Oryctolagus cuniculus: one gene and its partner. The protein of the gene in region 2 binds, or shares a complex with, the protein of the main gene of each other region. Links are inferred from orthologs where the notes say so. Each region holds a gene or a part of one and is shown on either strand. Other genes may lie near its edges.

Region 1 (7,432 bases), on a different chromosome or scaffold from region 2:
GCACCTGTGTAGGAGACCCAGAAGAAGCTCCTGGCTTCAGATTAGCTCAGCTCTGGCCATTGTGGCCATTCAGGGAGTGAACCAGCAGATATAAGACCTTCTCTCTCTCTCTCTCTCTCTCTCTCTCTCTCTCTCTCTCTGTAACTGCCTCTCAAATAAATAAATAAATAAATAAAACCTTTTTTTAAGTTTTGGCATGAGGATGTTGACATCCACACTGAACTTTTTCTCGTGATGCACATTTTCCGTGAACTTCTGGAAGCCCCCCCGCATGGTGCTTGTGACTGCCTCATTTCCCGTAACAGCGCCTTCAAGGTCTGTCCCCCCTGGAGCCCACGTCAGAGTCCCCTGCCTTTGCAAGGCTGAGTCATATTCCTGTCATGGGAAGGCCACATTCTGTGTTTCCACCTGTCATCAGTGGCCACGTGATGCCTCCACCTCTCAGTGTTATGCATGGTGCTGCTGTGAGCACAGGCGTGCACGTATCCGCTTGAGAGATGTCTCCAGTCCTCCTGGTTCCATACCCAGAAGTGGTGTTGCCGGGTCTTGCTGTAATTCTGTTTGCACATTTTGAAGAACCTCTGTGCTGTTTTTGCCGCAGTCCCACCATGTCACGTCCCATGCAGCAGTGCATAAGGGTCCAGAGTGTGCACATCCTAACGCGTGTTTTCTTTTCATTTTCAGCCTATTTATTCGAGAGGTAGACAATGACAGACACTCCCCAAATACCACAAAGGAAGCCAGAGTCAGGAACACAACCCGGTGTCCCGCATGGGCGGCAGGCATCAGGAGCTGGAGCTGGGAACAGAACCCCAGGCCCTCCAGTGTGACACAGGACCGCAGTCCCAACCAGACACTGGCTCCTACCATAGCATCCAAATGGGCACGAGGTGGTGTGTCATACCGATTTTTTAAAAAGATTTATTTATCTGAAAGGCAGAGTTACATACAGAGAGAAGGAGAGGAGGAGGAGGAGGAGGAGGAGGAGGAGGAGAGAGAGAGAGAGAGAGGTCTTCCATCCGCTGGTTCACTTCCCAATTGGCTGTCACAGCCAGAGCTGCGCTGATCCGGAGCCAGGAGCCAGGAGCCTCCTCTGGGTCTCCCACATGGGTGCAGGGGCCCAAGGACTTGGGCCATCTTCCACTGCTTTCCCAGGCCATAGCAGAGAGCTGGATCGGAAGTGGAGCAGCCAAGACTAGAACCAGCGTCCGTATGGGATGCCAGCACTATAGGCGATGGCTTTACCCACTACGCCATAGCGCTGGCACCTCCTCATATCAGTTTTGATTTGTGTTTGCCCAATGATGAGAGGTGTTGAGCATCTTTTCTTATGCTTGTTAGCCATTTGTACATCTTTGGTGAAATTTCTACCTAAGCCCTTTGTCCATTTTTAATAGGATTATTTGCAATGTGTTGTTGAGTTGTAGTTCTTTATGCTATGTTTATGTCAGATACAATTTGCAATATTTTATCCTATCCCACAGGTTGATTTTAAAGTATATTTCTTTGAAAGGCAGAGTAAGAGAGAGAGAGATTATGATGTACTGGCTAACTCCCCAGATATCTGGCTGGGCCAGGATTCAGGAATTCATCCGGTTTCCTAGTGGTTAGCAGGGACCCAAGCTGTTTAGTCACTTCCTGCTGCCTCTCGGGGTGCGCATCAGCAGGAAGCCAGAATCCGGAGCCGGGGCTTGAACTCGGGCACCCAGGTGCAGGGTGCAGGCGCCCCACCCAGCGCCCCAACCACCTGGATCTACTCTTCTTTCGCTGCCTGTGCTTTCGGAGTCAATCCCTGGACTCGCTGTCGAATCTCACATCACAAAGCGTCTCCCCGAGGTCTTCTTAGTTCTTACATCCTGATCTGATTCATTTTAAGTTTTGTTTTGTTTGTATAAGGTGAGGGTCAACTCCATTCTTTTGCATGTGGACCTCCAGTGTTCCCGGGATCATTTACTGAAAATACATCCCTCGCTGAGTGGTCTTGGTGCCCTTACTGAATGCCATTTGACGGCGTGCGCGTGTGTGGGGGGTTGGATTTAATTCCTTCCTTCCTTTGGATGGCTGGGTCACGGTCCACTGATGGACACACACTGACCTAGGGTGACACTCACACTCAGCTGGGTCACGGTCCGCTGATGGACACACACTGACCTGGGGTGACACTCACACCTGGCTGGGTCACGGTCCACTGATGGACACACACTGACCTAGGGTGAGTCTTGCACTTTATCTCAGTGCTGTCTGCCCTGAAAGCTATGTGTTTGGTTCGTCCACGTTGCTTTTGGTTTTGTTTAATCCTTGGACCATCTCCACTGCGCCCCCAGAACCTGTCCTTGGACCATCTCCACTGCGCCCCCAGAACCTGTCCTTGGACCATCTCCACTGCGCCCCCAGAACCTGGGTGTGGAGAAAACCCCGTGCGCCTCCCAGGAAGGAAGCGGGGACAGACGCGCCCCGGGGCTGAGCTTTCTGCCTACGACAAACTCCAGTCGCACCTGAAGAACCCGGGTTCTGCCAGCCACGCCGCCTCTGCTTCCTCCTCTGCGGCGCACACCCGCAGCCCCCCAGGCTGGAGGAAGCAAACGATGAAGGCTCGGGTCGGCGCCGGCTGCTTCTAAGTGCTTGGCAGACCACACGCACGATCCGGTCACCTCCCAGGTTCCTCGCTGCCCCCATTCTACAGAGCCGTACACTGAGGCCCGGGGGCTCGCCACGGTCACGGCGTGAGATACGTGGGGGAACCCGGCCCACGGCGGCCGCACCCCGGGGCTGCTGACCCTGGCCGGGGCTCCCAAGCCCGGGAGCTTCGCGCACCCCCATCCTTGCGCTCAGAAAATAGCCCTGCACCAGAAACCCGGACCTGTAGTCGCGGGGCAGCAAACCGCACGGCTGGAAAGCCTGCGCGCGCAAGAGGGCGTGGAAACTCCGCCCGCGTCGCCGTGGAAACGCGGCTTCCCCGCACCGCGCGCGGCTCGCGGGGCGGGGGCGGGGGCGGCCGCCGTAGTCCGCGCTCGGCTCCCCGCCGCGCCCGCGTCCCGCGCGCTCCGGACCGCGCCGTGGGGCGCACGCCGCCGCGCGCCCAGCGTCCGGCCCGAGCGGCGCCCCGCGCGGACCCACCCCCGGGCCGCGCCGATTGGCGGGCAGGGTCTCCGCCCCGCGGAAAGTTTTCGGTGCCTGGAGGAAGTCGGAGTCTGGCAGGCGAGCGGAGCGCAGCGCCGGAGGCCGCGGGGGTCCGGGCGGGCGGACGGCCATGGAGGAGCCCCCAGTGCGCGACGAGGAAGAGGAGGACGGCGAGGGGGACGAGGCCGGGCCCGAGGGGGCGCTGGGGAAGAGCCCCTCGCAGCTGACCGCGGAGGACGTGTACGACATCTCCTACGTGGTGGGCCGCGAGCTGATGGCCCTGGGCAGCGACCCCCGGGTGACGCAGTTGCAGTTCAAAATCGTGCGCGTCCTGGAGTTGCTGGAGGCGCTGGTGAGCGAGGGCAATCTGACGGCGGAGGCGCTGCGCCTGGAGCGGGACAGCCTGCGGGCGGAGGTGGCCGGGCTGCGCCGGGAGCTGCCCCCGGCTCGCGGGGAGGTGAGTGGGCCGGGGGTTGCGCGGGGTGGGGTGGGGTGGGGTGGGGCGCTCCTTTTCCTTCCTGGCCAGAGACCCCCAGAAGCGTCCCCCGCCGGTGGTCGGGCCACCCAGAACAGACTGAGCGTCCCAGGTCGGGGGTCCGAGGTCCGCGCAGCCTGCAAGTCCGGGGGATGCGGACACATTGCACGCTGAGAACCTTTGACCTGGAGACCTTCGCGTGCCCGTGGCCACAGAGCAGGTGTGTAGGGTGCGTGTGTGCGCGTGCACACACCTGCAGCGGAGTGCTGCAGGCAACGAAACACAAGGGGAGCCCTGAGGGTGCGGGCTTGCGGGTAAGCCGCCGCGGGCCCTCCCTCCGGTGCCTGCGTTCGGTTCCCAGCTCCCCCAGTTCCTGCAGACCCGGGAGGCAGTGGTGATGGCTCCTGCCGCCCGCTTGGGAGTCCTGGATTCAGTTTCTGGGCCAGCCCTGGGTGTCTGAGGGATTTAGGAAGGTGTTCGCTCTCGCCCATACATGTTTTGATTTTTCTTAAGAAAAGAAGGGAGTACGGGTGCGGTATGGGGGGATCTCCCGGATGTTACATTGACATACAGAAGCCAGGCACAAAGGAGAAACTACCCATACATTCATAGAAAATTTCAGAGCCGGCAAAATAATCTTTAGAGAAGGGGGGAGGGGAAGGAGCAAGCGGGCACTTGATGGACAGCTAGAAACTTCCGTATCTGCAGATGTGGTTGTACTGGTGTATGAAGTGTGTCAAGAGCCAGCAAGCTGGGGCCGGTGGGCGACGTGTAGTGGGGCGACGCCCACACCCCATATGGGTGCCTGTCCCAGTCCTGGCTGCTCCACTTCCTTTTTAAAAATAAATAAATAAATAAGGACTTGTTTATTTGAAAGGTAGAGTTACAGACAAAATGAAAGTGAGATGGAGAGAGAGGTCTTGCACCCGCTGGCTCAGCCCCCCAAATGGCTGTGCCAGGCCAATGCCAGGAGCTTCTTTCAGGTCTCCCACACAGGTGCGGGGACCCAAGCACTTGGGCCATCTTCACTGCTTTCCCAGGCCACAGCAGAGAGCTGGATTGGAAGTGGAGCAGCCGGGACTAGAACCGGTGCCCTATGGGATGCCAGCACTGCAGGTAGAGGCTTTACCCCCTATGCCACAGTGCCGGCCCCAGTTTTGTTTTTTGTTTTTTTAAAGATTTATTTATTTGGCCAGCCCTGTGGCTCAATAGGCTAATCCTCCATCTGCAGTGCCGGCACACCGGGTTCCGGTCCCGGTCGGGGCGCTGGATTCTGTCCCGGTCGCTCCTCTTCCAGGCCAGCTCTCTGCTGTGGCCAGGGAGTGCAGTGGAGGATGGCCCAGGTGCTTGGGCCCTGCACCCGCATGGGACCAGGAGAGGCACCTGGCTCCTGGCTTCAGATCAGCGTGGTGTGCAGGCCTCAGCGGTCATTGAGGGGTGAACCAACAAAAAACAAAGACCTTTCTCTCTGTCTCTCTCTCTCACTGTCCACTCTGCCTTTCAAAAAAAAAAAAAAAAAGATTTATTTATTTGAAAGCCAGAATTCCAGAGAGAAAGAGAGAGAGAGAGATCTTTCATCCACTGGTTCACTCCACAAACGCTCACAGCTGCGGGGCCGGCCCAAGCACTCACCCATCTTTGCTTCCCGGGCTCATCAGCAGAGAGCTGCATCGGAAGCAGAGCAGCCAGGACTGCAGCAGGCTGTTGTGGTTTTTCTTCTGAATTGTAACACCTTGTGAGTTTCACTGATCTCTTAGTCACAGGTGGGGATTCTGAGCAGCTCCCGGACGTGGACTGTGTCGCTTCAACCCACCCCATTGCTGAACTCACTGTGCTTTGGTGACTGTTAATTTGCATGAGGACTTACTGCTGGGAAAACGGGGGTCAGGGTGTGAACTCAGATTCTGCCTTCACTGCTCCGTGACATTGGGCCCTGTCTGTTGTGCTGGTGTTTGGTGAGGGAGCTGCCGTAGGCCAGGCACGGGGCATGCAGGTGAGCTGGACAAGGCCACTACCCTCGTGGACTGCCACCCAGCAGGAGAGGTGCAGACCCAGCAGTGGGCGTGAGAGGCGGCAGAGAACAGGAGTGGGGTCCCTGAGTGTCCCAGGGGAGCGTGGGCGTCCTCAGGGGCTGCCCCGAGTCAGGCCGACACTGGTACTCGTGGGTGGGCCTCTGCTGCGGCATCTGTCCTGTGGGGTGCCCGAGGCTCATGGCTAGCAGCCTGGCTTTGCAGAGGCCACAGAAGTTGAATGCTTGTCCAGGAAGGTGCGGCTGCGTCCAGCGCCACCCTCGCCCCGGTGCCCTGGCAGGAGGAGGTGGAGGCAGCCCTTGGGGCCGGGTCGCCAGGTCATTTCCTGTGTGGTCTGCCCGGGGCCTGGTCATTTCCCGTGCGTGGCGACTGTGGGAGGCAGCGGATGAGGTGGCACATTTTCTCCCCAAACCGCGGTCTGAAGACAGCACGAGTTAAAGAGAAGGAAGGTCAGTGCCACTGACAGTGAACACACACCTCGTTCTCTGTTGCGCTCTCTTTTCTGGCTGTGGTAAAATGCATCTCATATGAGCTTCGCCATCTCAGCCGCTGGTGTGTGCACAGTTCAGCAGTCTTCCATCCACTGGTTCACTCCCCAAATGGCCAGAACAGCCAGCTCTGGGCCAGGCAGAAGCCAGGAGCCAGGAGCTTCTTCCTGGTCTCCCACATGGGTGCAAGGGCCTAAGGACTTGGGCCATCTTCCTCTGCTTTCCCAGGCACATTAGCAGGGAGCCTGGACTCGAACCGGCGCCCATGTGGAATGCAGGGGCCACAGGCCCAGGACATTCTCGTTGTGTTGTGCTGGGATCACTACCATCATCCCCAGAACCTTTACTTCTCTTAAAACTGAAACTGTAGCCATTGAATAGCAACTCCCAGCTTCTGCGCCTCCCGCAGCCCCTCCAGCCTCTATATTTTACTTTCTTCTTTTAATCAACCACCATTGCTTCACCACACATTCTACTGAGATACAAAGCTGAATTTTTAAAATCATACCACACGAAGGTGTTCAGCTCTTTCCCGCCAGTCGACTCACCACCTCAGTGGCGTACACACAGAAGGGAAGCACCCACTGCACCTTCATTGTGTGTCCCCCAGTCAGGTTCACAGCTGCTTTGGCGTGGAGACAAAATCCACACAAGGGTAAAATCCATCGATACAGCGGAGTCTGCATCTGGGCGTCTCAGAGTGAGGCTGGCCGGCAGCCGTCCCAGGGCATTCTGAAAGCAGGTGCACACAGCTGAGCTCTGCCTTTCTTTTTTCAAAGAGAGGGAGAGAACGAAAGGTCTTCCATCCACTGGTTCACATCCCAAGTGGCCACGGTGGCCTGGGCTGGGCGGGCCTGATGCCAGGAGCCAGGAACTCCATCCTTGGCAGAAACCCAAGCTCCTGGGCCGTCCTCTGCTGCCTTCTCAGGCGCATTAGCAGGGAGCTGGATCGGAAACGGATTCTCCGTCCTCGGGGTGGCGTCTTAACCCACGGTGCCATAGTGCCGGTCCCTGAGCTCTGCTTGGCGTCTTTAAGAATTTAACACAGAGATGTGGTCGTGGGATCGTTGTCCAGCTGGCACTGGCCTGTTTACCTGACATAGGTCCTCCAGAGCCCATCTGTGCTGTGGCATGTGTCTGAATCCCCTCCCTGGTAGGGCTGAGTAATGGCCCGCCGGCCTCGAGACCAGGTCTCGCCCCTTGTCCTGTGCTGGGAGCCCAGGGTGCTGGGCTTGCTTCCCCCCTTGGCCTTTAGGAACGGCCCTGCCTGAACACGGTTCTCCCGAGAAGCGTCTGTTCATGTCCGTGCTCTCGGTGCT
Region 2 (7,284 bases):
ATAAAACCCACACTTTCTTTAGATTCTTGCAACTGTATCATATGTAATGGTATCACTTTTTCTACATTTTGGTCAAATAAATTTTTACAGAAACTCCCATTTGTGTGAATTTTGTTTCGATGAATGTTGTTAGTGGGGTAGCGAGGGGGAGATAACTGGGCCAAGAACTTTGCAGATGTTATTTATTTACTTTGTACCATGACTTCATGATAGAAGAATGAATGATCTCCCTGTTGCACATGAGAACACCTGGCCTCAGCAACTCAAAAGCTCTTGTCCTTTGTTATCCGCAATCCTGTCTGAGCAGGGCTGTGAAGAATGAGTAGGATTTTAATAGATGGTGAAGACAGGCGAGATGGGCTCACTGTTTGACTTAGGAAAGTGCAAGGCCTGCCCGGACAAGGTTTTCTATGTGTTGTACCCTAGGTAGAAAAGCTGGACGGTTGGCTGGATCCAAAATTGATAAGAGCTAGAATTTAACTTACTGAGGAGTAGAGACCCAAACTGAAGTAAACACATCAAGACATTAGGAAAATGCACTTAGCACCTATTTTCAGGTGGTGGCCTGTACAGACAGGAAGGTGTCAGGAAGATGTTTCAGTACACAGAGTGGTTGCCATGCAGTAAGAGGGAAGAAGTGATCAGAAGGAAGCAATCTTAAAATGTAGCCGACTTGATGGCAGGGATCTGAGAGATGAGAGTGTCAAAGCTGACTAGTTTCACTACCTGAATTGCTTTGATAATCTGGATAAAAGATCCAATCCAGAAAGGGAGGCAGAAAAATCAAAAAGAGGTATGAAAACCTTTTTAAAAATTAATGTGATATGGAAACAAGCTTTTTGCGCTCAAGTACAATTAAAACATGTCCTTCATGTTAATTAAGCAGTAGTTGACAGCTTAGGTGGAAGGTGGGAGCAATGTCGATGGCAGTGTAACTCCCTCCAGTGTGAGCCCTACCATTTCTAGATTGAAGTTCCTCTTTTACTTCTCTCTTCCCCCTCCTCTGCACCCACTTTGGGTGTAGTCTAGTCTCTGGATACTGTTTTAGTCATCCTTGTACCTCAGCACTTAACATGAATGTTCCATGTTTGTTAAACTGACTTGTCCCAGCTCTTGGGGAGTTCCCAGTCCCATAAAGTGTGTGTGGAACACAGGGTGAGAATAGGACAAGGTAGTGAGAGGTATCATACTCAAAAGTATAGATTTTGGACTTTATCTTTATTGAGATCAATATTAGTTAAGTGAGTTAGAGTGAGCACACTGCAGGGTGGAATCTAGGCTAGGGAAAATGGCCAGGGAGACCAGTGGCAACCTGACTGTGGCAGTGGAAGAGCAAGACTCTTGAAAAATCAGGATGTGAGAGATGAGTCAAAAGGTAACTCCAGGTAAGTGAATGTGAGATGAGATTAATTGTGGACATAGTGAGTGTGAAGTTATCTTTGGCAAATCCAAAGGTAGATGTCAAGAAACTAGTTGGACATGGAGGGATGGTGAGCTATGGCTTAAGAAATGAGACTCGTCAGTGTGGAGGTATTAGAAGCCACCGGACTGAATGAGATCACCCAGAAATTGAGACCAGAGACAGAACCACGAGGAACATAAACATCTAAGGCACAAATAGAAATCTTCCAAAGAAGCAGCACCCAGAAATGGGGAAGCAGACACAATAGAAATAAAATCAGGGAGAGAACCAAGAAAAAATCACTTCCACAGTTAGTGGTTGAGTTGTCAAATACCTCAGAGGCTGAGGCTTATGAAGTGGTCAGTGGCTCTGACTGAAGTTTTCTTAACCCTGAGTGAGGTCAGCGAAAAGAATGAGCCTAGGAAGGGTGGAGGAGAGGCCAGGGCCATCTTCCAGAGAGCCTTAGGCAAGCCTCCAGGCCTCTCTGATGCCCTCAGTGTGACCTACAAGAGACTGGACCATCGCTGAGAGGCACAAACCCCAGTGGTTCCAACTTTGGTTCTCTGATGCTTGGTGGTTTGAATTCAAAAACTAACTTCCCACTTGAGAGCCTGGGAAAGTCAACCTCCTGTGGGCCTGTTTTCCCACCATAAGAAAAAAAAATACAAAACTATCATAAAACTTTTTTTAAAAAAAGATTTATTTATTTGAAAGGGAGAGTTACAGAAAGGGAGAGATATCTTCCATCCGCGGATAGCTCTGGTTAGGTCAAGCCAAAGCCGGGAGCTTGGCTCCTCCCACGTGGGTGGCAGGGGCCCAAGCACCTGGGCCATCTTTGGCCGCCCTCCGGGGCACATGAGCAGGGAAGTGGCTCAGAAGTGGAGCAGCCCCAAACTTTTTTTTTTTTAAGTGTTGGTTACCACCGCCAGGCACAGACGCAACGCTCCTTAACGTGACCTAGAATTGCCGCCGCCCTGAGTCCCCGGGCGGGTGACTTGACCGCCTCAGACAGCCGGCTGGGTGTGAGGCTGACGAGGCTGGGGGGATGGACACTAGAAGCTGAAGGTGGCCGGGACAGCCTCTAATTAGGTCCGAGGGCGGGTCTCGCTTGAGGCGTCCCAATTTCTCCTCAGGGCGCAGCTGGCGGCGGGAAAGCCGCTCAGGTCGCCGAGGCCTGGATATTTCTCTTGGCCGAGAGCCCGCAGCCCGTCTCGAGGGGTTGCATTTCTGTCTCGATGAGCTCCCGGCTCTCTCTGTTTCCTCTTTGGCTCCCACTGACGGGCAGGACGCGGAAAACTCCACTTGGCGTTGCCTGGCTACCCAGCCTTCCCGCGCTCGCCTTGGCGCCTACTGCGGCTGCGCGAGCCGTCAGGGCGGGCCCCAGGGGCTCCTCCACGTGCGTGCGCCCTCTGCCGGCGACCAACGATCTTTCAAGTGCGCGTGCGCCTATCCACCAGGCCCCGCCCCTGGGCTGCCGGCGCGCGAAGCCGTTGGCCCCGCTCCCGACTCGCCCCTTCCCCTCAGAGGGCGGGGCGGGGCCTCCCCAGAGCCCGAGGCGGGGGGGGGAGGCGGGGACATGGGATGCCACACCCCCGCCCCGGTCCCTGTTTGAAGCCCCTCTACTCTTCATCGCTGGCCAATCCCAGCCCGCCCTGTCCCGAGCGCCGACCAATGGGAGGCGCGCTCGAGCTGCTTCCGGCTCCGCGCTCCGCTCGCCCCTTCCTCAGGTCTCCCCGCGACGGGCGGGGCTCGGGGGCGGGCGTCGGCCGCGGTGACGCGCGGCGGGCCGGGAGCCAATGAGGGGCGGGCTCGGAGCTGATGGACGGGTCCAGCGGCCAGTGGCGAGGCGCTGGCCGCACTTCCCGTCGAGGAGAGAGTGTAATATGGCGAAGACCTACGATTACCTGTTCAAGCTGCTGCTGATCGGGGACTCGGGGGTGGGGAAGACCTGTGTCCTGTTCCGCTTCTCCGAGGACGCCTTCAACTCCACTTTCATCTCCACCATAGGTAGCGGGGCTGGGGAGCGGCCGGGGGCGCCGGAGGCCCGGGCCGGGCGCGCCCCTGAGGGGCTGGGGCTGAGGCATCGACCCTGGCCGAGGGGCAGCGGGCTCTCAGGGGGTCTGAAGGGAGCCGAGCAGCTGGCTCCGCCGCGCTTCGCGGGTTCCCGGGCCGTGGTGGTGCTGGGGACCAGTGCCTGTTTGGCGAGTGGGTAGACTGAGGCTCCCGCCTCTCAGCCCGCTCCGTCGGGAGTGTCGGTCCGGGGCTGGGGTTTTGGCGCCCATCCTCTCGTGCCGTCCTCGCAGCCCCTTGCCAAGCCAAGTTCATCTGTGGGCGTTGTGGGAGGGGTCGGTCGTACAGAAGTGGATGCTGGGGCACTTGCGCTCTGCCAGCTGCGTGATCGCGCCCTCCTGGGGCTGCAAGTTAAGGTGTTTGTCACGAACCCATTTCGCGGATGCGGGATTTGAGGCTCAGGGTGGCCGGGGGACTTGTCCAAGGTCACACAACCTGCAGAATAAATGGCACGGATGAGACTTGAACCTCGATGCGTCTTGACAGCCCAGAGGAGCCACTTGGGAGCAACACTCCGACCCCCACCTCTCTCTCCTGCTTTTTCCCCTGGGACTGGACTTTAAGGACTGAGCCTCCTCCCTGGCCCTGGAATCGTGAGGGAGAGTGAGGAGCATTTACCCTGCCCCGCCCTCTATCCCACTCAAGGGTGACAGCCCCAGTGAGTGACAGCTGCCCGCCCAGGGACCTGTCATCCCCTCCCCCAAGGAGATGCAAGATACAAGGCTCCGTGAGAAGCCACAGACAGCACCCCACTCCCTATCACAGGGCCCAGGACTCCGTGGTTGTCCCACTGAGGGAACAGCGCTTCCGGCTGGGCCACCCCACGTGGCGGCTGAGCGGAATCCACTTGTCTTTTTCTGTCGGCCCTGCTGACTTCTCATCACCGTGCCACAAAAGCCAGCCCCTGCCCACGATGACAAGGCTGGACCCGGGAGGCACAGCCGTCCCACAGTGGCCTGCGAGCTAGGTAGCCCTGTTCAGGAAGCAGAGGGGACAGTCACCCAGTCCAGGGGTTGACCCCAGACTGAGGAAACTTAGGGAATGGCTTCCCCCCACCCCACCCCACCCCACCACTGCCACCACCACCATGTCACTTGAGCCACATCTCATTATCACCCGGAACTCCACCATGCTGGAGGTCACCATGCCTGCTTTCCTGTTGCTCTTTGCCCTGGAACAAGCACTACCCCTCTCTGAGCCCCGTGTCTTCAGATTAGAACTCCATACAATGAATGAACGGCCGCCCGTGGCCCAGAGCGACAATCTGGGGGAGACCGATTGGTTCCTGGAGTCGCCTCGCGTGGCGGGAGGTGGCACGGGAGCCAGGGTCCTGTCCTGTCCTGCCACACCAGTCTTCTTCCTGTTACATTTGAAGCCGCCTTAACGGGGCTCTGGCTTCTAGGCTTTGCTCAACCATGACCTTGGAGTTAACGGGCCTCGTAAAGTGTGCGCTTGCTAATTGAACCTCGCGTGTTCCTAGAACCCAGGAGGAGTGCAGGACAGAGGGCTGCTCTAGGGCTCAGGCGACTGAGCAGTGCATCTTGAGTTTGTGCAGCCCAGTGACAGGAGGTGCAAAGGATCCGCGCCCGACTGCTTTATCCCTGAGACAGAACTCAGGCACAGAGCCCTTGGATATTGGTATCGAGTGCCCCTCTGGGTTTTCTTAATAGATCGGGGATTGAATGGCTGTTCATTTGCTTCCCTGGGGTTACGTCTTGCCAAGGCCCATTCTTAGGAGCTCCATCCATCATCTGTGGTGTGAACTTGGCCCTGCGGCTCCCTGCGATCCATTCTCTACCAGCCTGGCTCCGTCCCCGCCATCTCCTCGGGGACCCCGCTCCGTGCCTTCTGCGAGACGGATGATGTTTGTGCAAGTGCCTCCCTCACCACGCGCGGCCACCTACACCCTGTGGCTCTGTGGCATGCCAGCCGCCTTCCACGGACATCTGGGCATCAGCACTGGAGCCAGGGCTTCAGAGCCGGCTCGGGTGCATCAGGAGGGGAGGTAGCGACGGCACGAGGCTGGGCGTTTTGTCCCTGTGACAGCAGCAAGGAAGCTGCGTGCAGCCCATTGCCTTGGCAAAGTTGCTAATGGGCAGAGTTCGAGTGCACGCTTGGGTTTGCAGCCACGAACCTGGAGCTCCATCCGGGTCTCCCATGTGGGTGGCAGGGGCCCCAGGCACTTGAGCCGTCTTTGGCTGCTGCCTTCCCAGGCGCATCCACAGGGTGTTTGGATCGGAAGCGCGCAGTAGCTGGGCCTTGAACCGGCGCTCATCCGGGATGCCGGCACCAGCCCCTTTGTAACAGCTTCAGTGAGATAATGGGGTACCGTACGGTGTCACCCACCAACCAGGTACAATTCAGGGGTGCTTTTCTGCACTCACCACAATCCGTTTTGCATTTTGGTCATGCTGGAAGAAACCCCCACCCTCCTCCGCCAATCCCCAGTCTCCCACTCTCCCCAGCCCCCGGCAACCCCGAACACACGCCCGGTGTCTGTGGGCTTGCTGTTGTGGACATTTCTGTCACAAGGTAGAAGAGGTGTGGCCTGGTGCGTGCAGTTTCTCTCGCTCAGCATCATGGCTTCCAGGGTGCATCCCTGCTGCAGCGAGTGTGGGCACTTTGTTCCTTTTTGTGGCTGGGCAGTATTCCACTTTGGGTTGGTCCAGTCACCGGCCGGTGGACCCACAGAAAGGTCTGGAGCAGAGGTTTGCTTGGTGACCTGGTTAGGAGAGCACTGGGGTGCCGGCTCTGAGGGCCCCGCAAAGGCACCCTTGGCAAAGGAGAATGAAGCAGGAGGTGGGGAAGGAGGAGGAGGTAAGGTCAGGACAGTGTCTTGGGAAGTGACCCCGGGGGAGGAGAAATTAGCACAGCTGATGGGCAGAGAGGGACTGGCATGTGCAAAGGCCCTGGGGCAAGAAAGGACATGGCCTGGGTGCCTCGGGGTGTGTGATGGAGCACCGTGCAGGGCCGTGTGGGACAGGGAGACAGGCACGGCTGGCGGCATTGGCAAGGGAGGAGACCAAAGACGTTGGCAGCCTGAGCTCCTGGGTGTGCCCACCATCTGTCACTCTGGGCAGCTCCCGTCGGCTCTGAGAGCCTCAGGCGCCCCGTTCTGTGAAAGGGGAGAGTCTCCAGATGCTTCCAGACTTGCTGGGGAGGAGGCAGAGGGCACACATCCCCAACAGCAGGCAGGTGAACCCCCAAGCGGAGGCAGGTGACCGTTCCCCCAGAAACATAGGTTGGCTGACCCCGCCCCCAGACAGCACCCGGGACAATGGGCTGACCGTGATGGGTCTTCTTTTATTCTTTTCTATTTCAGGAATCGACTTTAAAATTAGGACCATAGAACTCGATGGCAAAAGAATTAAACTACAGATATGGTAAGTGGTGCCCTGGGGCAGCCTCTGAACCCGGCGAGCGCTTGGAGCCAGGAGCCCTTGGTGCCTGCCCCTCCCCACCCCCACACCCCGTGACCTTGGCCTTCATCTCTTGGTGCCCAGGGCTGCCTTCAGGCTGTCTTCAAAAACTCTCAAGTGCTCTCCCCATCAGGGACCTGTGCGCTGCTGCTGTGGCCCGGGGGACTGTGTCCACACCTGTTGGGGACATCACCCCAGGCCCGCTTAGCTCAACCTTCTGTGTTGTTTTTTGTTTTTTTGTGTTTTTTTTTTGAGATTAATTTGAGAGACAAGAGACAGACAGAACTCCCGTCTGTGGGTTCACTCCCCAGATGCCAGAGCTGAAGCTGGGAGCCAGGAACTCCATCCAAGGTCTCCCACATGGGTGGCAGGGACCCAGGCCATCATCTGCTA

The links. The genes of interacting proteins can lie anywhere in the genome.
Region 1: the proteins of RAB8A (region 2) and RILPL2 are in contact, whole or in part, in a crystal structure (PDB 6SQ2), measured with the Homo sapiens proteins. The link is inferred for Oryctolagus cuniculus from reciprocal best matches to the Homo sapiens genes RAB8A and RILPL2. Residues at the interface, in NP_005361.2 of Homo sapiens: Ile41, Gly42, Ile43, Asp44, Phe45, Lys46, Ile47, Lys58, Trp62, Phe70, Ile73, Tyr77; in NP_659495.1 of Homo sapiens: Leu135, Leu138, Arg139, Leu142, Gln143, Arg145, Asn146, Lys149, Ser150, Leu153, Glu157.

Annotation. Positions count from the first base shown.
Region 1 is NC_091452.1:5,916,931-5,924,362, forward strand, and holds the start of RILPL2 (RILP-like protein 2), read left to right. Parts: upstream 1-3,141; 5' UTR 3,142-3,250; coding exon 3,251-3,577; intron 3,578-7,432. UniProt on the Homo sapiens protein: Involved in cell shape and neuronal morphogenesis, positively regulating the establishment and maintenance of dendritic spines. Plays a role in cellular protein transport, including protein transport away from primary cilia.
Region 2 is NC_091447.1:64,694,681-64,701,964, forward strand, and holds the start of RAB8A (ras-related protein Rab-8A), read left to right. Parts: upstream 1-3,237; 5' UTR 3,238-3,285; coding exon 3,286-3,409; intron 3,410-6,794; coding exon 6,795-6,855; intron 6,856-7,284. UniProt on the Homo sapiens protein: The small GTPases Rab are key regulators of intracellular membrane trafficking, from the formation of transport vesicles to their fusion with membranes.